Linked DNA regions of Struthio camelus. The protein of the gene in region 4 interacts with the protein of the main gene of each other region in a pairwise test. Links are inferred from orthologs where the notes say so. Each region holds a gene or a part of one and is shown on either strand. Other genes may lie near its edges. The genes, in order: ATXN3, HYI, CCDC198 and TEX11.

Region 1 (7,193 bases), on a different chromosome or scaffold from region 4:
ACTTTGTTATGTATCCAGCGCCCTGGAGATAACACAAATGTAATATATCACTTTTAGACTATCAATCTAAATTAAAAATGAATAAATTAGAAGTGACAGTTATTATTTTGTAGGATAAGTAAAAAAAAAACCTGAATGTACGTCACGCTCTTTCATTCTCATAATTAGTGCAGATAAAAATGCTACCTTGCTTAAAAAAGGAAAACTTTAGTAGCCAATAACCGTTATTTTTAAAGAAATAACTAAACTGCAAGTGCAAAATAAGATTCACATCAGTTTTGAAATCTAGGTTTCATCTTTGCTATTTTAATTAATCCTTCCTATTTTTGTTTACCTTAAAGTACGTGCACTTTGAAGAATAAAAACAGAAACCGCAACCAAACAAAAAACAAAACAAAACCCCCAAAATCCCAAGTACCAAGGGCATGCCTTGTAGGAATATTCTTCAAACTTCTATGACAGCCTCATTCAAGCTATATGCACAGATCTGCCATGGTTCATCCCTTAAAGCAGGAATCTCAAAAATTTCCTTTACCCCAGATTACAAAATCTTCCCAGGGCTTTATCACTCAACTAAGCAATGAGTTAAGGCTGGACTGGGTGTACAGCTGGGGTCTAACAGAATTCAGAAACCTTCTCCACCATCCCGCAGCTTGTGTTCTCCCACTGCAAGAAAGACCGCATCCTCCAAGACCACATCCCTGCTGTTGGTCATATGATAAAACTAAAGCAGAGCAACCTGCTTAAGAATTGCAAGTTTCTCCACCAAAACTACTTGAAACCGATTTAGGAACAAAGAGAGATTATAGTCTTTGAAAACAAGTTGTATGACAGTGTTTAAATCCAGTTTCACTGAAAGGGCATTTCTATATTTGTACAGAAAAAGTTTTATCTTAAGACAACATACATTAATTTTTCATATGCATGATTTGTACGTATTAAGGGTAAATGCAGAAGACAAAACTGATCTTACAGTTTGTAAGAAAAGTTAAGTTTGTTTTTTTGTGTGTGGAGAACACAATGCTTTTTCCATAATCTTAAATCTCCTTGTTGAGATCTATCTCGATATAAAACTGTTGCCCTGCTTTTGGTGTTTTCAACCACTTGTATCATGTAAGAGAAGGGGTCGAATTTTAAGAAAGTGGCTCCTTAAGCCTGGAGGAGGCCTACTTTGGGCATTTGCCATTCTCCCGTGGAAAAAAAAAAGTCACATTGCTTAGGTCTTTGTTTTGTTAAAGGTATCCCTTTAAAAATGTCATTTTTTTCATGCCTCAGTTTTTTAATTAAAACTTCTGAAGTGTACAAGTGATGCACACAGGCATTCAACGCTCAATATTTTGTAGTGCACTCAGGAAAAAAAAATACCACTTAAGAAAAAAAAAAAGAAAAAAGACATAGTAGTTCAGTCAAATTTTCCCTAGAATAGTAATTATAACAAAATAAGATGAATTTGAGTGCCAAGTATTTTTAAAACAGACAGCCAGGAACATTAATAACTGGATAACTAACTTGCTAAAGCATAGTTGCATACCATTCACAAGCAAGACGTCCCAAGAACATTAAGATAAACAAACAAAACCACTCCTCAATAAGAACTTGTAGCAACTACAAATGACAATTAACTTGTAACTCTGACAGTATTATGCTCTATCATTTTAACTCTACCAGAGTTTTATTATTCAAAATCAACAAAGCAATTTCCTCAAAAACACTTTATGTTACTATTTCCTCAGGTGACAGGCTAGGCTACATAAGAGAAAGGTACACTTGATTTGAACTCATTATTTTCAAATCTGGACTGGAACTCAAGGTCACTGTAACACAGGCTGTAATGACTGAAATCAATACTTATCCCCTGAGCAGCAGCAGTTTAACACCCCAAGCATTTGCAAAGTTCTGCTATCCAAATCCAGTGAAAACACACTCCTCAGGTTATACAAATTCCAGAACATTAAAGTTTGCTTTATACAGTTATACAGCTAGCTTGTTTGAGAACAGTGTATAAGAACTAGCATTAATCTTAACACAATAAAGATGTTATGACATTGGCAAAGCATATGAGGAAGACAATAGTACTCCAACAGCATTGTAGCACACACAGTTGGCATTTGGGAACCTAGATAAACCACAAGAGTTAATGGAAGCATTTCTCCTCCAAATCAGGAAACACTATTTAGCATACAGAAGCACTGCACATGAATTAGCAGTGCATTAGCATGGATTAAGGAAATCCTTAACAGCACTCTCTTTCCCTGCTCTTCACACAACTCAAATCAAGGCAGGCTAAGTGAAGAGGAAAGAGAACATAACAGGAAGAGTCAGAAACAGTCCTGCCTGCCCAGGCTACACACCCTCACACTCACTTCTCAGCCGCAGAAGCTCTCTCTCAAGAAACAGGAACAGCATTAGCCTGCACTTCCCCGTAGCGGAGGTCTACTTTCAAAGGCCCGAGAAGGGAAGTCACTGGGTGAGAGGAAACGTCGAGGCTCGGCCCTGGCTTTCTTTGATCTCCAGTATAACGTTTCCTTTTCCCACCGAGCCGGAAGACTTCGCAGAGCCAAGCCGGGCCGCAGGGTCCGGCAGCGCGGTGCGAGGGGGCCCAGCTCTCCGCCGAGGCAGAGGGAGTGGAGCCGCCGCCTCAGCCCTGCCGCCAGAGGGGGCCCGGCCGCAGCGCGCCCCGAGGGCCGCCCCGGAGCCGGGGCCGGGAGCGGAGACCCGCCCGCCACCCCGTACAGTTCCGCGGAGGGAGCACCCCCCGGGCCCGGCGACACCGCGACTGCCCCCCACCCCGGCCCCGGGTGGGTAAAGCTCCGCGCGGAGCGGAACCCTCCCCTCCCACAGCCCCTCACTCACCCGTTCGTGGAAGATAGACTCCATGTTTACTGTCAACGGCCAGCACCCTCCGCCTCACGTGACCCGCCCCAGCCAATCAAACCTCGCTTTACCGGGCAACCCGCCGCAGCCCGGCCGCGCGGAGCCCCCACCCCCACGGTAGCCGCCGGCAGCGGGGCGGTGCGAGCGCTGCCTGCACGAGGGCGCCCCCTGCCGGTCGGGAGGCCCTGCTGCGCCCTCGGCGGCACGAAGCCGGGATCCGCCCCCCGACCTCCCTGCGCCCTCGAAAGCTTTTCCCGTATTTCGCTTGGTTTAGAAATTTAGAAATCACACAGAGAAGTCGGCTTCACTGCTGTCTCTTACCGCCTGTCAATCCTTTTCATTCTCCTGTTCTCTTGCACTATCACAAAGCTACAGTATTGCCACTGCTGACATTCCAAAGAAACATGTCTAAAGAGGAAATCTAAAGAGAAAACGGTTCAGATTTCAATTAAAAATATATAAATACGTTCTCTACCACATTTTGGATCTATATTAAATATTCCTTTAAACATTGTCTCTCTATGAACTACATGAATTTTACACCATACAAATTAATAACGACATACATGCTTTTTGCATAGTTTTTCTTTATTACATAAGTCTTCCTCCCTCTTTCAGAGTATGACTTCCGGGGATAAATGTTTCTGAACAGGACTTGTACTAGTCATGTAATTATCTTTCAAAAAGGAGGACTGAAAATTATAAACTAGCAGAGATGAATCGTAGGTGTTCCTTTCTGCAGCCTTATACGTTCACTCAAGAATAAAAACTGTAATCCTGTTCTTTTAACTTGCTATATATGTTGATTGAACAAGTGAAAATATTTCCCATTTCATCAGCAGCTTCTATTTCCATGTAGTTTCTTCACCAGGTTTCAATTCTCTGTGTGGAAAGGAAAAAGAAAGGCAGGGGAATAACATTAGGATCATTTCTGTAGGATAATTACTAAAAAATGTAAGTTTTAATTATTATAGAAAACCTTGATGTAAGCTTTCATTATTATAGAAACCTTGACTGAAATATATATTAATTATAATGAATAAATCTGACTTTCTTTCAAAGTGTTGTGTTGTCAGTTTAGAATCTTTCAATATGGGTAAATGTTCTCTTTTTCTTTCCAAAGCTGCTTGAGTCCGCTTCAATTAGTTCAAACGTGGGCACCGAACACCTAACCTCTAATAACATAACAAACTTTTTGCATAACAGGGCCTTATTTCTTTTGAATAGAAAAACATCATTACTTTACTGGGGAAAAACAAACAAACAAACAAAACCAGAGGAAGCTTTTGCAACATACTGAAAGGCCAGTGCAATTTAACCACTAACTGCAGTGAGAAAAGTGCTAATAACAGTGGCGTGAGCAGTGGGCGTGTTACTTTACTTTCTCACTCAGAATTATTAGCCCATGGGACACCAGAGTAAAAAAAAGTCACTTGCAAACCATATATACCAACATTTCTACTTTTCTTCCAGTCTGTGATAGACTAGAATTAGTAATTATGCAGCATGATTCTTTTTCTGCTGTTTGGTTAACCCTGCAGTCTTATACAGATTTAAGAGAACTGATCTAGATGAGGTAGCACATTTAGTTATCTCAATTCTCCCCGAGCAGTAAGCCAGCAAGCCCATACCATGGGTATATAGTCATATCCTCAGTAAAGACACAGCAGTTGCTAACATTAAACGTTAAACATTCAAAATACAGAAGCTGGGTTAATTTAAAAAAAGACGATAATTATGTAAATGATGCAAATTTATACAAGTATTTACATGCTATATATGTATACATGCTATGTATATATATGATGTCATACTTTTAAACTTAAGATATAATTTTACTATAATCCACTGAAAAGGTTAAAATTAAAGGAAAACCCAAGTACTATTTGCTTCTGCTGAAGTTTTAGACAGAGCCAAGATAAGGTTTGCACAGTTTCATGGCTAAGCACTTGGCAGCAGTTAGTATGATTAACAAGCTTTGGAAAGCTAAAGCCTTTTATACCAATGCAAAAATACCTTCTTTTTCCAAATTATTTGATATCAAATCAATATTTAGTTACTTAAAATGGAAAACTAATTGGAAGCTGAAAAAGATCACTTTCCATTTTCAATACACAAAAAAATGCAAGAGGCTGCATTTTCCCACCTGTAGAAAAATCAAGGACACGGAGAATACGGAAATTCATACCTACAGACTACTTCCCTAGCTTAATAAGTTACTTTACATTAAAATATGTTTTATAAATTTGTCCCCTCCCTCCCCCTGCAATTATCACATTTAACATTATTTTGTTAGGTAAAGTTTGTCAGAGCTCTAGTATTGTGCATTTAAGTGAACTTGGTACGGTATCCAAATGCAGCTAAATAGGAGGACTCAAAAACATTTCCAGAAGGACTTAAGGGAAGAGGGGGGGAGGAGAAGAGTGGTTTGGAGGTCCTCCCCTTTTCATACACTTTCTCCGGGCCCAGTATACAGAAAAATCCATCTTAAACAGTCTCTTCAGAAGTACAGTTTACAGAATGTTTCAAGTGGTGTTTTTACTTCAACCCTTTGAGATTCTTTTTTATTAGTAGTATTTCAGACAATGTTACTTTTATTTAAAAAGGAACAGTAACAATTTCTATGCAGCAAAGACTGTGTTAATATGCCATGTTAATTACACTGTAAATGGTGAAGTATAGTGGTTAAGTAAATGATTAAATTTTATTTGAAGATTTTTTTCCTAGCAACATGAGTTTCTTATTTATGCACATATTTAGGTTTCTATTTATTTTTCTAGTCATCCTTTTCATAAGTCTACTTAGACATAAATGAAAGTGTCTTAACGTTTACTAATTCTTGCATTTGTTTATCTTGCTTCCAAGAATAACATTTATTTAAAAAAATTTTAAGTCAATTATCTCAACTAATAGGTCAAATGGACAGAATCGCGCACACTTTCTTTCATGACTTATAGCACTAAGATGGGCCCTAAAGCACAGATTTTCAGTAGGCATTAGTCACTCAAAACTCTTAATGAAAGTTGACTGAAATTTTTAGGGCTTTCTTCCTCTTAATATTTTGACAGCATTACTGACTTTTTTTTGTACTTGAGACTCTCAAAAAGAACAGAGAAGCACATCTACTTTGCAAAATAACAGAACATATATATTTTAAAAAGGTATCATAAGCAAACCTTCTATACAGCAAGCTCTTGTTTCTGAAGGCTGACAATTTTTCATCGTTCATTCTGTCCAAATAGCATCCAATCACAAATCCTAGGGGAACAAGGATGTGAACCCAGTGATCACGCACAGCTTGCATGAAATTCACCATGACTGCTAGAAAGAGAAGTGTAACACAGAAGAGTTACTGATAGAGCTGCACACGACAACTGCGACATACCTAGCGCCTTTACTCTCACGTACTAGGATCCTACTATGGAATAATAAACACATGAGGGCCATTAAACACTCCATGCAAGGTGCATGCTGTTCTCAGGTCCAAACACAGGATTCTTACAAAAAAGCTCGGTGGTGCTGGGAAATAGGATCTTATCCTAAAGCTAGAGATGAGTAGACTCTTTTAAGGCATCATTGGCAAAATAGTGACAAAATAATCTACCCACAGCAGCAAAATAATTTACCCATTAAAACAAATCTAAAAGGACAGAAATTTGCTCTCCTGCAAAACATAACACATGTATTTACAGTACCAAATCCTGCAGATGGATGCCCTAATATCAGTAAAAAGTCACAAAGACAAGCCTCGCAGTCACTTGGCCATTGACAGAGAAGCAAGATAACATATCTGTTAACTCCGCAAAGCCTGTTCCAACCTCACCAGCCCAAACCTTCCGCATGAGTGTCCTGCGGGACGATCTGAGACAGCCCGGCAGCCGTACCGCCCCGAGGACGGCCACAGACGCCGCCGCTGCTGCGAAGGGCGCCGCGGGGCGGCGGGAGGCAGGCCGCTCCGCAGCCAGCCGCGACGCCGGCCGGGCCGCAGCTCGCGGCAGGGCCCCTGCCGCCTTCGAGGCTCCGCCGGCGCAGGGAAGCGCCCCGAGGCGCTGCAGGTGAGGGCTCCCGCCGGCACCACGCAACCCGCCCCGCTCCCTCCCGCCGCCAGCCCCAGCCGTTACCGCTTGCCGCTGCCGCCGGGCCCGGAGCAGCGGCCACACCAAGGGCAACGGGCGCAGCGCGCAGGCCGGCGCAGCCCACCGGCTGCTCGGGGAGCGGGGGAGGAGCCGCCTCCCCCCCCCGCGGCGGCCTGGCGGTGGTGTCGCCCGCCACCCCCGCACTGCCCTTCCTTCTTTTCTCCCCGCCCCTCTCAAGATGGC
Region 2 (7,554 bases), on a different chromosome or scaffold from region 4:
TGTTTAGGGCCTCCCTCTCCTCCCTTGAAGGAGATTGCGGGGAGAAATGTCTGCCTTACCTTGGTGAGGGGTGTTCAGAAAGTAGCGAGGGTCAGTGATGCGGCTGTTAATAGGCTCTATCAGTCCAATCATGTCTTCCTGTAACACAGTGATGTCACTCCATGGAGCATCTTGTCACCTCTGCAGCAGACAGCTGCTGGCTTGTGCTGCAGCCGGAAGCATTCCCTCCCTGTGCCAAGCTGGTGGGGGACTCGACACCCTCAGTCCCCTAAGAGTTGGCACCCGTGCAGCAGGACCTGTTCCCTAGTTACCTGGGCCAGGATGTCAGCAGCATATCGGAGATTCTCAATGAACGTGGTTTCCATCTCTCCTGCCACTGCTGCCCGGTCTGCACCCACAGGAACCCGCCCGGCCATCAGGTGGATCCTGCAAACAGAGATCAGCTGTAGGCAGTAGCTCTAGTCTCCAAACTGAGTGGTCGAGGACTAATGCACCTTCCTCTGCAGGTAGAAAATACAGTGAGGGAGGGGAAGCAGACAGAATGTGTCAAAAGTTGTGCCTCCTTCCGTGCAGGAGGCACAACAGGCTCTGGCGAGCTGCAAGGATACAAGCCTGTACAATCCCACTTCAGTATTCAGGAGGACATCTTTGAACCTATTAAGTGACAAATCATAGGCCTTAGTTCTTCCCTCTTTTGTCAGTTGCCTCTTCCTCCCTCATCCCAAGGCCAACCCCAGAGATTTCAGAGTTCAGATCAGAGTTCTCGTAGGGTTTCACTACCGGAGCTACCCTGAAGCCACCATGCTGGACGGCAGGCATGCTGTCTGCTTGGGGCAGACTGGATGCCTTGTCTCACTGTTTGCTATGGCCAAAGGTTTAGAACAGGGAGGAGAAAACGTGGCCAGCTGCTGGGCTGTGACAGGCTGCACACAAAGCTCAACTACAGGGCAAGAACAGGGATCTTAAAGTGATTTGGTGGAGGGGTACTGTGAAAACAAAACAGACTATCATCTCCCTGTTAACAGAGAGAGTGAAATGACCTGGGCAACTGCAGCTTTCAGTCTGACCTCTGCTGTAGGCAGGGCCTTAGATCATATTTTGGGGGAAAAGAATGGTGCAAAGAAGTAAATGGAATAAAAATGGAACACTTTTTCTGAAGTGGATTGCGCCAGACTAATTGCATCTCTTGCAAGGTATCTACTACACTTCAGTCAGTGGGGACTTCAGTAAAGCTACTGCTGTGGTGTCACAGTGGAAATTGCTAGCATAAAGTGGGGGGTGGGGGGAAGAATTACGATGGGGACTACCGTGCAGAGGTGAGGACAAGACCCTCCAGGAGGAATTACAGAGTAAGATGAGTACATGGACCCTTATGAAGGGTCAGCTTGAGGACTGCTCTGAGTGGAAACATTAACTGTTTTAGGACTGCATGCAGGATTGCGTAAATGGAACTGCCTCCTGCTCCCAGCAAGGCAGGCACTGCTGGCACAGCAGAGAAGGGCACGTAGGCACAGGAAGGTCTCCATGATGCAGGGGGCTGTGAGGTGCAACAGTACAAAGGGCAAGTCCTTTGTGGAGGAACAACTGAGCCTGGCAGCTGAAGGAGCAATTGACACGGAAAAGTACTTTGATGCAGTCATCCTGAATGAGCTGAGGCCCACCAGGGGCCTGCTCCCCCCCCCCCCCCCCAGATTAATTGCTTTAGGGTATGAGAAGAGCAAAGAGAGCTACCAGCAGCAGGGGGAGGGTTTGCCTTACAGAAGGAGGTTGGCCTGTTTGACACAGCACAGTAAAACTCAACAGAGCCTCAACTGCTGTCCGAAAGTATGCGGGGTAAAAGCATGGCTGTGTAAGCTGCAGGACAAAGCTGGCCAGGAAACCAGGGCTTGAGATGGTTCCAAAAAAAGGGCAGCTTTGTGGGCTGAAGTGCTGGAAGCGTTCTGCTGCAAGGGGGCGGGTTCGTAAAATAACTGCCACGCTGGTAGGAGAGTGGCTGATGGAGGGGGGATACAGTGCCAGCACGGGGACTGCGTGAAGGCCAAGTGTAGCACCGATGCCTAAGGGGACAGTCCCTGTTGGGGGTGACTGTCTCTAGGGGGTAGAGTGCAACCAGTGCTGCCTGCAGGCACCCAGGGCCAGCGCCGCCTTGACCAGGCCGTGTTGGCCCGGGCACAGGCAGGAGGGGACGAGGAGGGGACGGCGCGTTGCTTCCCCCGCCACCCCGTGCACCTACCTGGGGCAGTCCACGGCCTTGGCGTACTGCACGGCCATGGCCAGGCCCTCGCGGAAGGCGGGCTGGCGCCCCGGCACGGCCCCCAGCCCCATCTCGCCCTTGTCCGGGTCGCCTGCAGGGGGCGGGGGGGGGGGTTAGTGGGACACCCCGCCTCAGTGCAGGGACAGCCGCTCCACAGCCCCCACACGCCATCCCCCGCTGCGCCGGGGACACCACGGCCCCCAACGGCTCCGGCTGCCTCTCTGGGCGGGGTCTGCCCCCAACGGCCGCGCCTCCCGCCCCCCAGGCCGGGGTCAGCCCCCAACGGTCCCAACGGCCGCGCCACCCCCCGCCAGACCGAGGTCAGCCCCCAACGGTCCCAACGGCCGCGCCACCCCCCGCCAGGTCGAGGTCTGCCCCCAACGGCCGCGCCTGCCCTCCCCCCCGGGCGGGGTCAGCCCCCAACGGTCCCAACGGCCGCGCCTGCCCTCCCCCCCGGGCGGGGTCAGCCCCCAACGGTCCCAACGGCCGCGCCTCCCGTCCCCCCCCAGGGCGGGGTCAGCCCCCAACGGCCCCCGGCGCGCCCCCCCCCCCCCGCGGCGGTACCGGGCGGGGTGTTGAGGAGCACGAGCCGCAGCCCCGCCCGCGCCGCCGCCGCGCGCAGCGCCGCCGCCTCGCAGCCGGCGGGCCAGGCCGCCTCGGCCGCGCGGAACCCGGCGCGCGCCGCCGCCTCCAGCCGCGCCGGCAGCGCCGCGCGCTCCGGGAACAGCCACGACACGTTGGCCGAGAAGCGCAGCGCCATGGCGGGGCCGGGGCCGGGGGCGGGGCCGTGAGGGAAGGCCCCGCTCCCTCTCCCCGGGCCGCGGCGCCACCGCGCGGCGGCAGGGGCCGGCGGCGCCGCCGCGGGGGTTGCCGCCTTCATCGGCCGGGCTGGCGTATTCCCTGGGAAAGGCGTTCGTGCCAGGTGCCGGCCGCCCCCGTTAATTGGTTTCCTGGGGAGCTGGTGCGCAGCGGTGCCTCGCTGTGGGGACGCGCGCTCGCCTTCGTCCCGCGCTCCGCGGGTTTCACCGTCAAGCGCTGGGCTCCGAGCGGAGGCTCCCCGGGGCGCAGGAGGCCGAGCGCGGCCTCCGCGGGGCCTGCCGGCCGGTCGGGCTCTCACTCACGTGCCCCGCCGGGCCCCAGCCGCCGGGGGGGTCAGGGCGGCGCGAGCAAAGGGGAAAGCAGAGTCTACTCAATTAAGGCTATTGATTAATCAATTAGAGGAAGCTTGACTCGACTTCTCAGCAACCACCCGAGCTGTCCCAGCGGTGGGCAGCTGGGCCGCGCCGCAGGCATGGGCCCCCTCCAGCGCGGGCTGCACCTCGAGGCCAGGCACGTCCGGCGGTGGGACCGCGCTTCGTCGGGGATGGCGTGAAGTGCTGAAGCAGTTAATGGCATCTTTATATCCTTGATAATATATTTCATTGATTTTTCTCTTGTTATAACTGCAGTTCCTGCATTGCAGCCCAGTGTTTTATCATTTTACCTTGGCAGGGCACAGCGGATTTACTCAACGCCGGCAAACTCGCCTGGGCAGCACAGTGGCTTGGGGAGATGTTGCACTTGCTGGAGACAGGTCACATCGTCTTCCCCTCGGGAAGGGGCCGGCCTGTGCGTGGAGGAGCCGGGCACAGCATGGGGGCTGCGTGTGCCCTGAGCCACCCTCCTCCACCCTGCTCGTTGCACGTTCCGCTAACATGTCTTGGCTCTAGTGGAAGTCTTGGCAGGAGCAGGGTGAGGGAGGCGGTATGAACTGGACCAAAGTGGCCTCTTCAAAAAACAAAATTGGACAAAGTTGCCAGCCTACTCAAGGCTTTCATCTGACCATTTTGCATCCACCCCTCGCCCATCACCGTGTGGACCATCACACGCCAGCAGCCATGCAGGCCCAGGCATGGAGCTGGCCACCCTGGAGCCCGTTTCCAATGGTAGCCGTAAGAGGTGTCGAGGTCAAAACAGGACGGGGCAAGCAGCTGGGACACCCCTGCGCCTCCCCCAGCCGCTGCCTGGCTTCAGCTCCTGAAGCAGCTGCCTTCTGGGCGTATTTGGTAACCCCAGGGATTTGCCATCCTTGGGCATCCTATCCTAACGCCAGGGCTTGCCCGGCTCGGGTGTTGGGGTGCAAAGCACCAGCCCCTGTCTGCCCTGGGCCGGCTCCCATGCTGCAGCTTCTGCCAGCCCTGGGGTGCCAGCGATGGATTTTTGCCACTCACCGTGAATTTTACTGGCCCAAAGAAAATGTAGCTCTTGCGCGTTTTATTACAGAGCTGACATTTTGGCATGGACCCGACTCTGGCCTCAGCGATGGAGAGGGCGGCGGGTGGCCGTGGTAGCTCCCTGCGCCTGTGCCCCCAGCAGGCGCTGTGGGGGGTCCCAGCCCACTGCTGGCCGCACTGGGGTGCGGAGGCAGCCAGGGCCAGCGGCTGAGCACGGCCCGCTGCTGGCGGTGGGCATCAATCCTGCACCGTGTGGCTCGCTGGGCTGCTTCATTACCCCATAAATCCCCCCGCTCACCGGGCTGCTGGGAGCCTCTTATCTCTCTCTCTTTATGAAGCATGTTTTCATTTAAATTGACATTTTTGTATTTTTAACTACCTCTGCCTTGGCTCCGAGGTGGCTGGGCAACTGAGGTAGCAGCAGGGCACCATCACCGGGACAGGGACAGAGGTCCCCACCTCCTGGCGGTAACAGGCAGACCGGGGGGTGACATCTCCTGGCACCCCTGGTCCCTCCTGCTCCCCTCCACCCCACAGCTGCACTGGGCCATCGGGGCTGGGACCCTGGGATTTCCAACTTGTCTCCACTTCCGATGGCCGGGGCAGCCGCTGCTTTCCCTTCCCTGCAGCAGTCTTTGGTCTCACAGCCCCCCCGGTCTCCCCTTCTTCACACTAAAACACCCCAATATTTTGCAACCTGTGCAAACCTTGTTTTCTAGGACTTGGAATTTCAGCTTTTATAGGTGAGCAAATTCTAGCTTCTTCATATGTAGAAAAAGGCTGGAAACAATATTCTGAGTGTGACCCAGCATCTTGCAAAGGCAGCTGCGGGAGTTGTGACTGTTCAGTCTCGTGATTTTGAGAACCAAACTCCTGGTTCTGGGGTCGGTTGGTACTGATGGTGCGGGTGAATCGTGTATTACAGGATAAAGGACATATCTGCATGAATTACTCCAGGCCTGCAGGTGCTGATTGCCTGCTGCTCGTGCTGCCTGAGGGCTGCGTGAGCAAGGTCCCTGTGCGCCTGCGTGTGTGTCCGCGCACGGGGTTTCGCCGAGTTCAGCCCCCAAAAGCTGTTACGCTGTCTGACATGACCTGCTGTGCAAAGCCAGCCATAGATTTTTGTCAGCCTGCCACCACACCGAGACGCCTGCCCTGCGATGACCGAAGACGGTCTTCCCCAAAGCCATCCAGGCCGGATCTGGAAGTGCCACAAGATGAAAAATCCCACACTCACCCAGCAGCCTGGCACCTGCTAGAGACGTGTCGGGGGGTTGCTCCGGACGCTGGTTCGGCCTCTCACCCCAGAACAAAAAACCCTTTAATTTAGTGGGGTTGGGGGCTTCATTTCATTTTTGGCTTGTATTTTTATCCTGTAATGCTGCTCTGCCTCCTCTGCAACAAACTATATAAAGCTGTTAAAAATCTCCCTCTAAAGCATATTTTCCAATTCCTCGACTCATTTCTGTGGTTCCTTTTTCTGTGCCCGTGGCAGAATTTCAACGCTTTTTGGCCCCACGCAGCAGCACGTGCCCTGCTGCGGTGTCTCCAGCAGGTCCCGAGCTGCCGTGATGCCCCGTGGCACCCAGCCCAGCATGTCGGCCCGTGCCGGCGGCGCTCCGGCTTCTCCTGAGGGGTGGCTGCCCGGCTTTGGGCAAATTCCCCCCTCTCCTTATTTAGTGCTCCACCCTTATTCGTGGCACCTGCATGTTTTTGAGGCCGTAGGTTTGCCTTCGCTCGCGGCCACCGGGGAGGCGTGTGTTTCATCCCGGCTTGGCCGTGGCCCAGGCGCCACGGGACCCCTCCACTGGCCACGGCTGGCTTTGTCCTAGGCAGGATTCGAGGAGAAAAAAAACGTATTTGCTTGGAAGCAGGGATTCCCACTAGCCAAACCAAGCTGCAAATGGCTGAGAAGAGGGTGCGTTGTGGCTGCGTGGTAGCGCACCCCGGTGCCGGCACCAGGGCCACCTGTGGGGCTGCCAGCCCTTCCTCCTCCTCCTCTTCCTCCTCCTCCTCCCCCTTGCCCTCCAGTCCCCTCTCCTCAGGAGCTGGCACTGGGCCTCACGTGGGAAATGTGGGGAAACTCGTCGTCCTCCCCGGAAAGTCTCCATTAAGATGTTCACGGGGTGCTTTAATTAGCACATTTCTGCTTCCAGGCCATGCTTTGTTACAGCTTCCAAAAAAAACACTTCGGTAAAATCTATATATCATATTATGGGAAACAAATGCACAACCTTCGCCAGCTTTATGACTATTCTTCATCAGTGAGTATTGAACCGAGCCTGAACACACTATAAATCCTGGCGAAGCTGAGGCGAGGCGGCAAAGACCGATACCACCGTCGCCTCTGCCGGCGCTGGCTCCCTGTTATTTGGCTGCTTTCGGTCTGGCGACCTCCGCGACGGTGACGCAGGTCGTCTCGGCCCGCTCGCGTTTCCTAGCGGCTCTGGGATTTTCTTGATGTTCTAAGATTTTACGGCAAATTAATGAGGCGGCCGAACTCTCCTCCAGCTTTTTGCGGACGCCGGTGCACGCGTTGTCTAGGCCCGCTGAGCTGGCAGATGTTGTTTAACGTTCCCGTCAGTAATTAATAGACTGCTTCATCGCTCTTGTATGATTCAAACATGTCGTCCCGCTTCTTTCCAAACACAGAGCAGAAATATTTGTTAAACGTGTCTGGCTTTTTTTTGCATGATCATTAGCACTCCAACAATTCCAGCGAGGAAAGGATTTATAGCGGTGCCAGGATTTCTTTTGGCCTTATTATGCCTTTGACGTTCCTCCTCATTCTGCCTACCCCTCCCTGGCACGAGGTTTCCTTTATCAACTTCCTTCTGATTTATGCCTTACCAGTTGTAACTTCTCCTTTACAACAGTTATGAATTTCCCTCCTTTTCCATTTCTTACATGCTGCGTTTCTATTTCTAGCCATTCGCCTCCCAGGCCGGGTGTCAGCCAGCCCAGTCCCTTTTTGACCGCGGGACACACTTTGCAGCCAAATAAATATGTCAAGGTCGGGCAACAAGCGGGGACGGACCGGCTGGTCCCAGGCTTTGCTGCAGCCTCCCCGTGCCGTGGCCACGGGCC
Region 3 (6,878 bases), on a different chromosome or scaffold from region 4:
GCTTCCCTCTTCAGCCCCTCGTACACCCTGTATGGCAGAATAACCACCCTCCACGTCTCCTGCAGCTTCCCAGCTCTTCTGGCCACCTGCACCCTTCTCCTTCCCTCCTCTGGCATCCCTTTGTCCTCCCTGGTCTCTCCTGTGGCCCATAACCATCTGCTGGCCAAGAAAATTGCATGTTTGGCTGGTTCCTGGCTGCAGTCACGGGCTGAGCTCACGCTTGGCCTTTTAAAGCAGGGAACGGGCAGCACTTTGAGTCTTTTCTTGGTGCTTAGTTTCTGAGACCTTATTTATTTTTGAGGGACCCTATAGGAATGTCTTCTAATGCTTCTACTGACCCTGGCAGACGTGGGCTACAGCCAGCCAGTAGGCTCAGGAACTGGTGAGGGAAGTGCTGACATGCGAACAGCACAACTAGGAGCTGCCTTTGGAAACCAGTCCAAAACGCATGCACAGTGGGGACGTGCTACCAAAGGGCAATCGCCTTGTCCGTCATTAAAGCAGCCTTTTAACTAAGGCCTGAATGCAATGCGGACCAGCTCAGATCTCTTCTTCATTACTGCTCTCCAGGGGCATGTTGCTGCTGCTGTTCTTGCACAAACACTTGCATGTGCATGGAGAATTGTTTTATATATAAGGTTTTCTATTCTTCCCTCCCCTGTTGCATTTGCTTGCTGTTTTATACGTGCTGTTAAACAAGGTGGAGCTGCTCTCACACAGCAGCAGCCTGCCCTAAGCCAAGCAGCTCCGGTGTGCAGCATGGCAAAGGATTTGGTGGGGGGGAGGAGCAGGCATTGGGGGCAGAGGCTGGGGAGCGGAGCAGGGAGACACGGTGAAGGGCGTTACATTATAGCTGAGGTCAAACTTCCTAGTTATAAAAATCAGAGGTCCTCTCATAGGGGTGACGATGGGTGACTCCAGCAGCTTGGAGAGCGGCGGGGTGACCCAAGCAGCACCCCGGCGTCCAGGATTGGCAGTGCTGGAGGAGGCCGCGGACGTGGCCCAGTTCACCTGAGAAAGGATTTGCTTTGCTCTGCTGAGCACCCGTGCAATGATTAACCACCGAGCGGGGGACGCCCGAGAGGGGAAATTCCAGCGCGGGTGACGTCTCGGGAGAAAAACTTTAGTTGTCGCCACGCTGCCTCCTTGCAGAGGCGAGGAGGAGACGGCGCTTTGCAAGGAGGCAGCGTGGCGACAACGTGAGGCTCAAGCTGGCGGCGTTTCGGCAATTCCCTTTTTTCAGCCTTGCGCCCTAATAGGTGATTCTCTCTGCCGGCGAATGGGGAATTTAACGCCAGCCCCAATGAATCCTCCTAAACTAAGACGGACCTTTTCTCCGGGTGGCTTCGGTTATTTAGGCAGCAGCTCAAGCTAATGCAGCGCTCGAGTGCCCTTGAGCGTACTTGTTTCTGAAAATGAAGTATGTAATAGAAAATGACATTTATTGAGTTCTTTTAAAGATTTTTTTATAAAAATATGTTTTTATAAGCGTTTGATAAATGCCTAGTGATTATCACTGTCCAGAATGGGAATATGTAATTGCTCTCGCTGTTACGCAGCGCTCCAAGCACCGGGCCGTGTACCCGGCACTGATCTGTATTCACCCCAGGCCTCCGCTCCGGGACGTGACTGCTGTCGCGCTGGAGGCGTTTGCTTTCCTGGGCTCCCGGTGTCTTTCCATAGACAGTACTGAAGAGGAAATATCTGGCAATGCTAACAAATGATTGGGGTTTTTTTTTCAAAATTCCCTTTTAGAAGGGGACAAGAGGGGAGGAGGAGAGCTAAACCTGCAAATCCGATCCATCTGCATTATCCTTTCTCAAGCGAGCAGCCGCGTTAGGTGCAGAGATTTCGCTCTCGATTTATTGTACGTGGCCGGGGGTGGCCAGTCTTCATCTCGCTCGTTATAGTCATGCACCAGCTTTTTTGCTAGCTGTCTCATACCTCCTTTCTCGTCTCTGGGTACAGAGTGAATTTAAAAACCGCTGCCGAAGGCTACGGCCGGTGCTGCGTGGGGAAGGCTCTCGGGGAGGGGGGGGAACGCGGGCAGTTGTTGCCTTTGCGTTCCTCGGCCTCCCGGCTTACAACATTAGCCCTGCGTGAGACACAGGTATTATTTATGGCAGTGCTGAATTTTACCTGCTGAGCGTCTTCCCAGGATCTAATTATAATTAAGGTAATGATGTAGAGGTGCCCAAGGGTGACGGGGGCGTGCATAATCAGGAGTTAAGGGGCCGCCGTGCGAGCGCTCGTCTGGACGCAGCCTGTGGCCGCTGCGCGCTGATGTAGCGCTGCTGGAGGGGGCTGTTCGCGGGGGGCAGTGCGTGACCTGGGCTCTGCTGGCCGGGAGAGTTTCCCAAAACTAGTTGTGGGAAAGAGGGGGAAATGGATTTTTTTTTTTTTTTTCAAAGCTGAAATTTGCTGGAAATGACAAAAAGACGTGAACAGGGAAAGGCACCTACACGCACCCCGTCGCCCTGAGCAAACCCACAGCTCGGGGGACACCCGGCAGCTTTCTGCAGGCGTCCCCTCCGAGCAAGGACCGGCGTGCTGCCGAGGGCAAGCCACCAGCCGCTGCCCTTGCAATCATTAACTTATTAATTGCAATTATTATTTGCAGGCCCTCTTACCTGCAGCGGCTCTCCCGTACCCGGCGTCCCGGAGCGGCGGCAGCTGCCTCGGCACCGCGGGTTTCTCCTGCTCCGACGCATCTTCCGGCGCGTGGGAAAACCAACGCGGGGCCGAGACGTAGGGCGAGACGGGCAGGTCGCCCCCGGCTCGTGCTGGGGCCACCTTGGTCACCCTGTGGCGCGTCCTGGAGGAGCTCAGGCCCATTTTTTCCGGAGTTGCGGCCTCCGAAGAAAAGGAAAAGCCCCTCGCTCCGGGCCCTATCCGGACCTGGCCGACGGTGCTGGTCCGTGGCGCCCGCGCTACCCCGGGGGTGGTGCGGGGCCAAGGTTGACAGCCGCCGCCGCTCCCCGCGTCCTTCCCGGCTCGGCCCTGTCGGCCGAGGCCGGTTAAACATTGACCGGCCCCAGCCCTCCGGGGGAGCTGGCAGCTCCCGCCGCGGAGCCGGGGCGGCCTGGGAAGTCGGTGCCAAGCACTGGGGGCTTTTTTCCTTTTTTTTTTTTGGTATCTATTTGCACCCATTTAGGATTGAGGATTTTTTCAATGTTGGTTTTGGAGGGTTTTTTAGCAGGTGGTGAGAGCACCTATTCACCCGGCTGCGAAACGCACCCAAAGCTGGAAGCGCAAAGTGAGCGGGTGCCCGGTCTTGGCCGAATACGTCGCTGCCAAACGCCGCCGGCCAGGACGAGGCGGGGGAAAAATCATTCATCCCCAAATTTAGGAGTTACCGGTCCCTGGGGCAGTGTGGCAGGTTGGTGCTTGTGGCTGCAGAGCCCCCACGCCGCTCGTGACTTCCCTGTGCAGCGGCTCACGCATGATGCAAGGGAGCCGAGCAGCTTCATCTTAATTTTCCAAATGAGCTGCTAAAATCTGCACCCTGCTTCCCTTCCAAATTTCTCTGTGCTCAATGTCTCCCCCCTAAAAACAGGCATCTTGCATTGAACAGTTCAGGGAAAATAGAGGATTAAACGCTGCTGTTGAGTGTTGCATGTGGGTTTTGGGGAGGGTGGGTGGCAGGAAGGAGGCTCTCTGCTGCTGGTGCCCTGTAGCTTTTCTCCCATTTTATTGTCCGAGAACATCCACCATACTCAACCAGAATTCCCCAGGGATGCTCATCTTGCAAAAACTGCATTTTTTCCAGCAAATTTACTGTTCTCCAAAGCATTGCCTTCCGCGCGCCCTGACGCCCAGTGCAGAGCAGCGCTGTGCCTCGGGGCCAGGGGCTCCTGAGCCCCTTCGCTGCCGGTGCATGGGGCAAAGCCATCGCTGCTGGTGGCACCGAGTGTAGAGCCTTGCACCCACCTGCAGCAGCAGCCTCCCATCGGCACTGCCCGCTTAGCGGAAATCATGTCTTTTAGACTTATTTTTCACTGCAGCAGGCTGCTAGATGAGAGTTTCAGAAGAGCAAGTGTGCATGCCCAGACCTCATCCGTGGGGTTTAGCACGAGGAGGCTGGTCGTTTTGGGCTGGGGTTTCCTGCACTAGTTCTGCAGCTCTGCGATGGAGGGGCCAACACTGCTGCTGCCGCTCATAACATGAGCGTATTTTTGCGGTTTGCCTGGGCCGAGGGCAAGGAGCAATCCCCTCCGCTGTGCGGTGGGAATAGCACCCCACCAGGTGTGGGAATGCCACGGCTGCGGCGCTGCTCCAGCTGTGGGGCTTGGGGGGGGGGCCCAATGCCACGGGAAGGGGTGTTACAAGCAGCTAGCCAGGCCCTGTCTGCTGCCCCGGAGGTGAGACCAGTATAAATCACAGCTTTTTGCTGGCTGTGTGTGGTGTGCGTGTTTTGTTTTGTTTTTTTAAGTAACATAGTTATTATATAGCTAGTATTAGAGAAAAGAAGCATTCATTATTAATAATAACTTTTTTTCTTCCCCTGGCAAAAATACTGTGAACAAAACCATACTAACCGGTAAGTAAAAACGGCAAAAAGCAGGCTGGTCAGTACAGCCATCGGCATTACTTTTGAGTTGTTTCTCCTGCTCTTTAAAACAAAACATTTGCACAGGTCTCTGCATGGTGAGTGCTCTCAAGTAAGCGTCCTCTCGCTGAGCGCGTGATCCTGGGGCCGCCGTACCTGGGAACGGCCAGCCTGAATTACACAGTGACAGTCTTAAGGAAGGAACTGGGTGGGTTGGTTGGTTTTGGCTTTTGAAAGCGTTGTTGTTTTGTTTTCCCCACTGCAGAGGTTAAGACAAATATTTGTTTGGCTTAAAGGAAAAGCACTGGAAAATGGGAGCTGCCATCTCCCAAGGATGCTAGTGCTGCAGGGTACTCGGTCTCTCATGAAAGCTGGGCGAGCAGCTTTTCTAGGAGAAAAAGATAAATGAAGTTATTTTGTTTTTAACCAGAGGCACCCAAAACGCAGAGCCGCTGCTGGAAAGTTGTTGCAGAGATGCACAGACCAGCGTGGGTCTGGGAGCGCGTTCAGCGAGCGTGAAGCTATGGGTGGGCTCGGCTGTTTCGTAGCTCTGCGCTAGGACAGCCTGCAGCCGGGCAGTCGCAGGCTCCAGCAGACCGTGCCTGTCATGAACAGGGTCAGTTTGTTAGCTAAGGCTTTGACAAGGTTTGAAGCTGGCTGATGGTGTAGTAAAAGCATTAGAGTTGAGGCTATGTTCAAAATCGGCTTGCGTGCCCAGTTGGGTTTCCTGGAGCAAGCAGAAAGCCTATGCTTCAGGAAGACAGGGCTTGGATGATTCATCTTATCTTCTTTTTTGTTTTTTAATTTAACATTACAAGATAGCTCAGCCCTGTTCGTCAGGGTTTTGAGCAGTTGCTTGGTCAGACTGCTTCTAACTGTGTGAATGGTTTCTAATTGGCAAAGGCTCATGTAAACACTGTTCTCCTGCATTCAGAAGGAAGTTTCTCTCTTCCAGCCACCCTTGGCAGCAAGGGGTCACAGTAATGCCTGGCCACACTGTTGCCCTTTTGGGTGTCCCACGTCCCTAAATAAGCATTTATTTTGATAATAATTCCTTTACTTTGAAGACAAGTTAATGTTCACTTTTGAGATTTTGCTGGAAATGTCCAAGATGGGTCTCCTTGATGATGACCCTTCTGCCACCAAAAGGAGATCAGTGATGTAGACTTGATCCTTATTATCCTTATTTTAAATCTGCCAGTTCAGTAAGACACAAGCTTAAATGCTTTTTACTACAAAACATTTTATTGTGGTTATTTACACCTGTTCCTTGATAAGTGTATAAATGTAAACATTTATTATAGATGTATTTCTCTTATCTTAGAATTCATCCCCAGTTCAGAGTAAATGTTATTTTTTTTAAGCATACTAGTAGTGAGGAAATTTCAGCTATATTCACAGAATATACATCTGTGTGCAGTTAAAGTCCACCAGCTCTAAGCTAGTGGTATAGACACTGTCCCATTAGCTCTACTTCTGCTTCTCGTGTGCACACTGGAGTCCGTGATGTCGTCAGCATGATCCTCACTTTTCTTCTCCTTTAAGCTGTTGATGAATCTCAAGGTTATTTCATCCCATTCTTCAGGGAGAAGCATCAGCAGAAACCCAATGCAAATGATGATAGTGGCCCCCAGCCTCACTACACTGAAGATCATCTTGTGCTTCAAGAGATCCACAGCTGTGAAGAAGAAACAAAGGTGTCATCAACAAAAAAAACTGCAAAAGGATGAACTACACCATCAGATTAGCCCGCTATGTCTCCATACCCCACATGTTGGACTCTGGCTATGACACTGGCCACATCACTTTCAGTCTTCTAGACCAACCGACTCCTAGAGTTCAGAGCATGGCTTTGACCCCACAGAGCGGTACTGGAAATGCCATGTCTCTTCTATGCCTCGCTGCCCTCACATAGACTTTGAGGAAGCCTTACAGAGCCAGTTTAGCCTCTGGTTTCCCTTCCTACTGTAAGGGAAGATGCTTTATGGTAACTCTTTATGTACAGCAGGTTGTATCAGCACAACGTTCCACCAGTGATGGAGAGAGACCAGCATGCAGGTCAGGATGGAGTCGATGTTCCCAGATTCTGCCTCCCAACTCCGCAACCAGCTATAACAGCACACCTGAGCTTCAGGAAGAGGGGACCCTGGAGTAACCTTCCACTCATACATCCTGCCCTGCTGCTGCCCATCAGGTCACCAGCACGGTCCTGAGCCACAGCAGCAGCACGCTGACCCCTGGCGTCTCGGCAGCAACTAGCTCGGGGGCTGCAGGCAGGGGGTCAACCTGCCCTCTCCTCTGTGTGGTATGGACACACCCCTCACTCCCA
Region 4 (6,874 bases):
GAGTAGGCAACAGAACAGACAGCATTATCTTGAATAAGATAACGTGAGAGAAATTGTGACTACAGGTTATTGGCCTGGGAGCAGCTGTTATTATTTGCATAATACAAAACCAATTTACAGTCAGAGTTTAACTTGTGCAATGGAATTGGCTGAACCGAGAAGTGCTCGGGGGCGGATCGGAAAGGGTTTTTGGTTCCTCCATAGTCCCTTGTTCAGACCCTAGGCAGAAGTTAAGAGTGTCAGCTCTGGTCTTTATACCTCTCACATAAGGGGAAGAAAGCTTGCTGAAAACACAGGGAAAGGAGTTCCTGGTTCCTTCACCTCTGAAGTGCACACTGGGCCTTTGTATTGCTTTTCAGATTCTGGAACTAACTGCGGTAACAGGAGAGAGAAAGATTTCCTAGAATCTCCTGGTGTGAAACATAAGAACTTGCCTTATTGAGAGCAGCTGTACACTTTTTATAAGCAACTTCCTTCTGATTTCAGCCAGCAGCTATTGCAAAGCACAACAGGAAAGCTAGGAGGAAAAGCTAGTACCAAGAGAGAGGCCAAGAGAAAGACAGCAAGACTCATTTGTGCTCCCTTTTAGTCTTTCTGTTCATGACTTTAAAATGCTAATGGGGCACGCTCCCCAGCTCCTGTCATACCGCTAATGGTTTTGATGCACAAACTGCAGCAGGTACAGGACTCACTGTTTATTTAAAAAATTAAAAGAAATTTAACAAAATCACGCCGAACAGTGAGGATCTGAAAAGCCAGGCAGCACTGGGGTCATCACAAAAAGAAAGGCTCTGCAGGCCTGACCAAGCCAAGGGTTAGATGTGCAGACAAGCACCTCCAAGTGGACAGTAAGACCTTGTTTCACTTCTCTCATCTAAACAGCAATACTGTTTTTTAAGCAGACTGAGATTGTAAATTAGAGATCTGAAACTCTGGTGCATCTCTACAAGGTGCCCAGATACCTGGAGGGCTTTGATGTGGGTAAACTTCCCAGAAGTTCCATTTGAGAGCGACCATGGCTGCAGCCAGCCTGGAGGAAGCCAACCGCTCAGCTGCAACGTGAAGAGTATGTCCTGGCACAAGGTCAGCGTGACACGCTGCACTTCTTCTTACCCAGAATCCTGCAGAGCTGTCCGTTTTTTCCCTTGTTGTCCTGTATCAGCACAGAACATCCTCTCTAGCCCAGAAGGAAGGGGGGATGAACACATGTATATCCACAGTCTAAGGAGAGTCCCCTTTTGCTGGAACTTGGATTTCACTCCCTACCCCAATCCAAAATGCAAGTACAGGGCTAGCTCTGGAAGGACAGAGCCCTCTATGAGCTAGAGCCCATGAGGCGTTTAATAGATTGCAGGCTGATGGTTTGCCTTCTGCATCTGAATGATCTTGCCAAAGCCGCCTCTTCCCACATCGTAGTCTGTCCGGTACTCATCTCGCACCTGGGGCACAGCAGTAACACGCGTTAGTACCCTGTACTGCCTATCTCCCAGTAGACTTCAGAATCATCATCCCTTCCTTGCTGCACTGGTGGGGAACTGAAATTTGGGTTACAAGTTCTTTGACTTGTTCAAAATCTCTTTAAAGAATCCACCAAAAAATTACTGGTGGTAGTGAAAACAACAAACAAGGATACAACAGATTGCTAAAGGTCTTTTTAAACAAAAAACAAAGAAGATCCAAAAATATTCTAATTCAACTTTGCAGTTAGCTTTCTGAATCAACAGAAACATTTACCCCTCCTCCCCGCCACCCTCCAGGAAATCTGCAAAGGAATCTCACCTTCTCACTGGGGCATGCTGCTGGATTATGAGATTGGCCTAGCAACTACACTGCCCCCCCCCCCCCCCAAATTTCAAATTCTGCATCATTTTAGGAGTACTAGCTCAGGAATAAGGCAAATTCTGTTTGCAGAGCCAGAAAGATTGGAGTCCCAGCCAGAAACTGCCTTAAGCTCTACTTAGAGCTGTAAACGCCAGGGTAGCTCAGTTATCAAAACCACCAGGGAGTGTCTAAAATTCACTATTGGGTCTTCATTATCTGCACTTTATCTTGAATAAGACAAAACTGGCAAAGCAGCACCCAACTTTAAGGAAAACAGGTTCAGGGTCTGAACTAGTGTTCTCTTTACCTGTCCTCCAGTCTTTCCTCTCCCATACTGTCGCCCTTCCTTAAATCCTGCATCCCAGTCAGTTCGAATGATGCGGTCATCTAGTCTGGTGCCATTGATAAATCGCATTGCGTGTTCAGCATCTGCTCTTGTGTAGTATCTGAAACATACTGTAAGGAAAACTAAACGTGCTATTTTGTTGGCTGCAGGGGGGGGGAAGAGAGAACTATTGTATTTGAGAAACAGAGGAATCCTGCCTTCCAGCCTAAAACACTGCTCTTTTTTATGGCATCAAAAGCTACCTTCATATAAATGCAAGCTGAAAACAGCCCCAATTCCTTCCTAAGATGCTACACTTTAATGTGAGTACCTGTACAGACAAGAAGTAGTTTTGGATCACTTATTTCAGAAGTAGATGAAACAAATGTGTTAAAGCTTTGCTACAGGCAAGAACGCTGTAATATGCCTTTTTATAGCATATGAAACTTGACTGAATTTGAATAAGATGAGCAGGCCTCCCAGGAGAGCTTTGCAAAGGCAGCTCACAGTACAACTTGTACAAGCGTGTACCCTGTGCTCGGGAGTAGTGCCATGGATTATTCTACTAGTTCATTCAGGTGTGAAGTTAGGGTGAGAAAATGAACATGTGCTCTTAATTTTCACCACACAACAGGTCTGACTGGTGATTTCTTTTTGGGCCCTAAAATCTGCTAAATGAATGAATGAAAGGTGCTCTCTGCTGCCTCCCAAAAATACAGAAGTGACAGTACTTTTCACTTACGGTCCTGCAGTAAGACCTGCCTCTGAACGAGGGCAGAGGGGAAAAAAAAGCAGAGAGGACACAAGAAATGTGCTTGACAGCCAGAAGGATGGAAGGATCGACAGGGAGAACCTGAGTTTTGCTCCCTCTTTCAAGTTTTGCGCGCTTGCTTCCCAGAGAGGGACTAGGGGTGGCACCCACAAGCCAGCTGGCAGTAGCAGGGAAGCAGGGAGGATACTCTACGAAGCAGAAGCCGCAGGGAGTTTTCTTGATCTTGTCCAGCCCCATGACAATCCTCTTGACGTCCCCGCACTTGGAGAAAAGCTCCTGGATCTGCTCCTCGGTGGTGTAGAAGGACAGGTTGCCCACGTACAGCGTGGAGGAAATTTTGAGGGATTTCTCCTGCAGCTGCCTGCTACCCTGAGGGCAGAGACGAGCACACAGCGGGGTGAGCTATACCACCACAGTCCCGGGGCTCCGGGGGGCACCTCCGCCGGGCCCGGGGACACGGTGCCCGCCCGCCCGCCCGCCCGCCCGCACACCGGCCTGCCCCGGTACCCGGTGCCTCCCTCCACGGCCCCGTCGCCCCTCAGGCCCCAACCCCATCCCGGTGCCTCCCCCGGCCTCAGGCCCCGCTGCCTCCGTCGACGCTCCCCGCTGCCGCCTCAGGCCCCGCCGCCCCTCCCCCCTCTTCAGCGCCTCAGGCCCCGCCGCCGCCGCGCGCGCGCGCTCCGGTGCCGCACCCGGAAGTGCTGGTCGCGGTACTGGCTGATCTCGCAGTAGGAGTCGCTGTTGAGCCCGCTCAGCGTGGTGTGGAGCAGCCCCGACATCTCGCCCGCGCCCGGCCGGGCCCTGCTGCCGGGATCCTTCCAGAACCGGCGCGGAGCCCACCGGACAGCAAGCGGGCGGGCCGCCCACCGCGCTCCGCCTCATTGGCGCCGGCGCTTGCCACTCGGGGTCGGGAGGCGGGGCGGCCGCGCCGGGCAGCCAATCGGTGGGGCGCTGAGCTCCTGGCGGCGGCGGCGGCGGCGGCGCGGTAGTGGTGGTGGGAATGCGCATGCGCGGCGGCGGCGGCGATGGCGATGGCGGCGGCGTGCGGTGTGGCAGGTACCGCCCGCCGCGGGAGGGACCCGGCTCCGCTGCCGGCCGCTGCCCTACACCCGCCTCTCGGCCTTGTCTTGCAGGGCTGGTCCGCGAGCTGCTGAGCGAGGAGGCGCCGTCGCGCATCGCCGCCGCCACCGAGGAGCTCTTCCAGGCGGCGGGCAGCGTCGCGGCCGAGGAGGGCGGCGCGGCCGAGGTAGCGCCGCGCCGTCGCCCTGAGGGAGCGGCCGGGCCGCGCTGAGGCGACGCCGCGCGCCTCGTCCCGCCCGTGGGCGGCGGGGCGGGAAGTTCCCCCCCCCCCCCGAAGTCAGTTGCGCCACCGCCGAGGAGGCCGGGGCCAAGGGTTCAGTCCCGCGTGGGGAGGCGTGTTCGTGATGTCCACGCCGGTGTTTCGGTCTTCCAGTTCATGCCTCGTTATAAACTTGAGTGCAAACCCGCCTTAGGCATCCGTGGGTGCTTAAGGACGTCGCGCTGGCTCAAAACAGAGGTCTGTCCCACCCTGCTTGTGGCTTCCAGTACTGTTAGCAGCTGCCTGGGGAAGGGAGAAAACAAGCATGTAGCTTTACTTGCCTGGTAAACCCAATACATAAGCTCTGAGGTTATTCTATTTTCGTGTATTTGAACAGTGATCCAATTCGCTTGCATAATGCTTTTGGTTTTAGATTTTTTTTCCTCCTCTAGTCAGGCCTTGTGCTGGACTGCTTATGAATAAAGTAGTAAAATTCTACTTGAAGAGAAAGTTCTGCTTTGACAGAAACTGTGTGCAAAAGAATTCTGATGAGAAGTGTATGAATCTGGAACAAAAACAAGAATAGCTGAGATTTTGTCCAACTTGTTCCTCCAAAATTATATGCTGAGGGGAAATTTCATAGTGACTATCCCATAAGGCAGACAATAGTTCTGAAAGTCCTAAATCTGTGACGAGGAGCAAGGTGGGCTGGCAAGCGTCACAACCGGGAATATTTTCCGTGCTCTCTGTAAAGAAATACGTTTGCATAAAACCAGTAGCCTTCAGTTCTTCCTGTTGGGCTAAATGATTTTTAAAGAAAGGAGAAATCGTTATCTTGTAGTTTGTTCTCTTCAGTAAAAGGAGCCATAAAATTTTGCTATTTGATTCTTGTATGAAGCCCAAAGTTCTTAGTTAAGCAAGAGCATATTTTCAGAAAGACATTTGATTCGGATTTTATGATCCGAAGTGGTTGAAAATACTGGCTTAGGGTTGTTCAAGCAGCTTACTGCCTTCGTGTACGACTCTGTCATCTTTTTAACATCAATGCCTAGCCAGTAGCCTTTGTTCTTTGCTAGTATCAGAATTTTCCCTGTATAGGTATTTACAATAACTAAAGTACTTAATTTCCTTTTTAGGAGGCAAAAGAAGTACTATAAATGTTTGCAAACCTGATACAATTCTTAGAGCTCCTTTCTGAACCCTTCTAATTTTTCAATATCTGTTTAAAGTGTACATACTGTATTCTGAAAGCTGCCAGTGAATCAGCTGTGTCTTGGACAGTGATGTGCTATTGCACAATTTTTGCATGTATTTTTGTGAGAAAACGTCATTCCAGATGGATAGGCTAAGGTAGGTCATATTTTGATAAGTTTGGAAAAGGATTTGACAGAAACATATATTAGGACCCTGGAACAACATGACAGATGAATGGAATTTGTTTAGGAACATATTTTAATGAAACCAAACAAAGGACTGGGAATGTGTCTGAAGTCCACCACTTCACTTACAGAATTCGTTGTGCGCAATTTCAAATTAGAGCTGAAGTCACTGATGGATGACGTGACATGCGTGTGGGTACTGCTATCTGCCTTATGATTAATTAGTTCTTTTTAGTTTCAGGTCATGTCTGCCTTTGGTTTACAGTCATTTTCTTTCTTACCTTGCTTCATCTTAGAAATACTCTCAAATGTTTAGAAGCTGTGAAATAGTCTTTTCTAAGACTAAAGTCTAAAGACTAAGTGTATCTTATGAAAGACGCTTATGAAAAGAATACGTGAGTCCTGCCAAATGCTTGTAAGTTTTCTGAAATGGCTGATCCATTGAAAAGAAGCTACTTTTAGCTCAAGAAAGCCCATGTGACCTATTCAGCATGCCTGTTTTCAGGTTACTGTCCCAGATCTCTCTGTGGAGACAGTCAGATCAGGTAATAGTTTCACAGTAATCTCACATGTGTGAGCCTACTGTAAAAGGAAGTTACACAGACGTGCGCACAGGTCATTAACATGACATACATGAAAGATGATTCTTTTTCCAGTAGTACATTTCAGCGTGATCCAAATTGAGGCAAAGATTAAATCTAATGGAATTCTCCCTCTCAGGTCGAAGAGAGTGCAATAAACCTGTGGAATTGGGCTGTGACCAAACACACGGGTTCTGTCATCAATGATGAGCAAAGAGCTAAATGTATGTATGTGTTCTGTATCTCCCTAAACGTTTTTGTGTGCTGTAACGTGGAAGGGAAAAACTCTGCTGACAGATACATATATAACGCTGTGGATTTGTTTGGATCTTTGTAGATAAGATGTAGACAGAGAAAATTGTACAGATGGGCTATAGAAACGGTTCAGGAAGGATCATCCTGGTGTAATAATGATCTTGTGGCACAGAATCAGTGTAGGAATTCTTATCACTCCCCGTTCCTGTGCCAGAGCATCCGTAAAAGCGTGATGTGACCAAAGGAAGCTGTAATTTGCCTTCTAATGCTGTTTTTAATCTGAAATTTTATGGAAATGATATTGGTGTAAATTTTAGACTGTAAGTCACTAAATTGATGTCAAGTAAGAAAGGTACTTTAAATAAACGCTCTCATCAATGACTACATGCAGAAAAGCTTTAAATTATTCTTTTTGCTAGCTTGCTTTAGCCCAGCACACAGCTAATGGCTTTGCCTCGAACC

What was found.
Region 1: the proteins of TEX11 (region 4) and ATXN3 interact in binary tests that used the Homo sapiens proteins (3 or more experiments, as listed by UniProt). The link is inferred for Struthio camelus from reciprocal best matches to the Homo sapiens genes TEX11 and ATXN3.
Region 2: the proteins of TEX11 (region 4) and HYI interact in binary tests that used the Homo sapiens proteins (3 or more experiments, as listed by UniProt). The two-hybrid records come from large-scale screens. The link is inferred for Struthio camelus from reciprocal best matches to the Homo sapiens genes TEX11 and HYI.
Region 3: the proteins of TEX11 (region 4) and CCDC198 interact in binary tests that used the Homo sapiens proteins (3 or more experiments, as listed by UniProt). The two-hybrid records come from large-scale screens. The link is inferred for Struthio camelus from reciprocal best matches to the Homo sapiens genes TEX11 and CCDC198.

What each region holds. Positions count from the first base shown.
Region 1 is NC_090946.1:65,727,000-65,734,192, forward strand, and holds the start of ATXN3 (ataxin-3), read right to left. Parts: upstream 3,010-7,193; 5' UTR 2,878-3,009; coding exon 2,854-2,877; intron 2,464-2,853; exon of another isoform or gene 2,364-2,463; intron 1-2,363. UniProt on the Homo sapiens protein: Deubiquitinating enzyme involved in protein homeostasis maintenance, transcription, cytoskeleton regulation, myogenesis and degradation of misfolded chaperone substrates.
Region 2 is NC_090949.1:25,507,460-25,515,013, forward strand, and holds the start of HYI (putative hydroxypyruvate isomerase), read right to left. Parts: upstream 3,015-7,554; coding exon 2,819-3,014; intron 2,346-2,818; coding exon 2,234-2,345; intron 427-2,233; coding exon 312-426; intron 139-311; coding exon 60-138; intron 1-59. UniProt on the Homo sapiens protein: Catalyzes the reversible isomerization between hydroxypyruvate and 2-hydroxy-3-oxopropanoate (also termed tartronate semialdehyde).
Region 3 is NC_090946.1:78,494,920-78,501,797, reverse strand, and holds the start of CCDC198 (factor associated with metabolism and energy), read right to left. Parts: upstream 3,010-6,878; 5' UTR 2,836-3,009; coding exon 2,631-2,835; intron 1-2,630. Other genes in the region: SLC35F4 (solute carrier family 35 member F4), read right to left, coding at 5,986-6,227. UniProt on the Homo sapiens protein: May be involved in tuning the metabolism, energy expenditure, and excretion processes.
Region 4 is NC_090952.1:25,538,737-25,545,610, reverse strand, and holds the start of TEX11 (testis-expressed protein 11), read left to right. Parts: upstream 1-3,861; 5' UTR 3,862-3,918; coding exon of another isoform or gene 3,919-3,943; coding exon 3,944-3,974; coding exon of another isoform or gene 3,975-4,051; coding exon 4,052-4,164; intron 4,165-6,296; coding exon 6,297-6,381; intron 6,382-6,874. Other genes in the region: nuclear cap-binding protein subunit 2, read right to left, coding at 1,341-1,439, 2,129-2,267, 3,106-3,287, 3,611-3,697. UniProt on the Homo sapiens protein: Regulator of crossing-over during meiosis. Involved in initiation and/or maintenance of chromosome synapsis and formation of crossovers.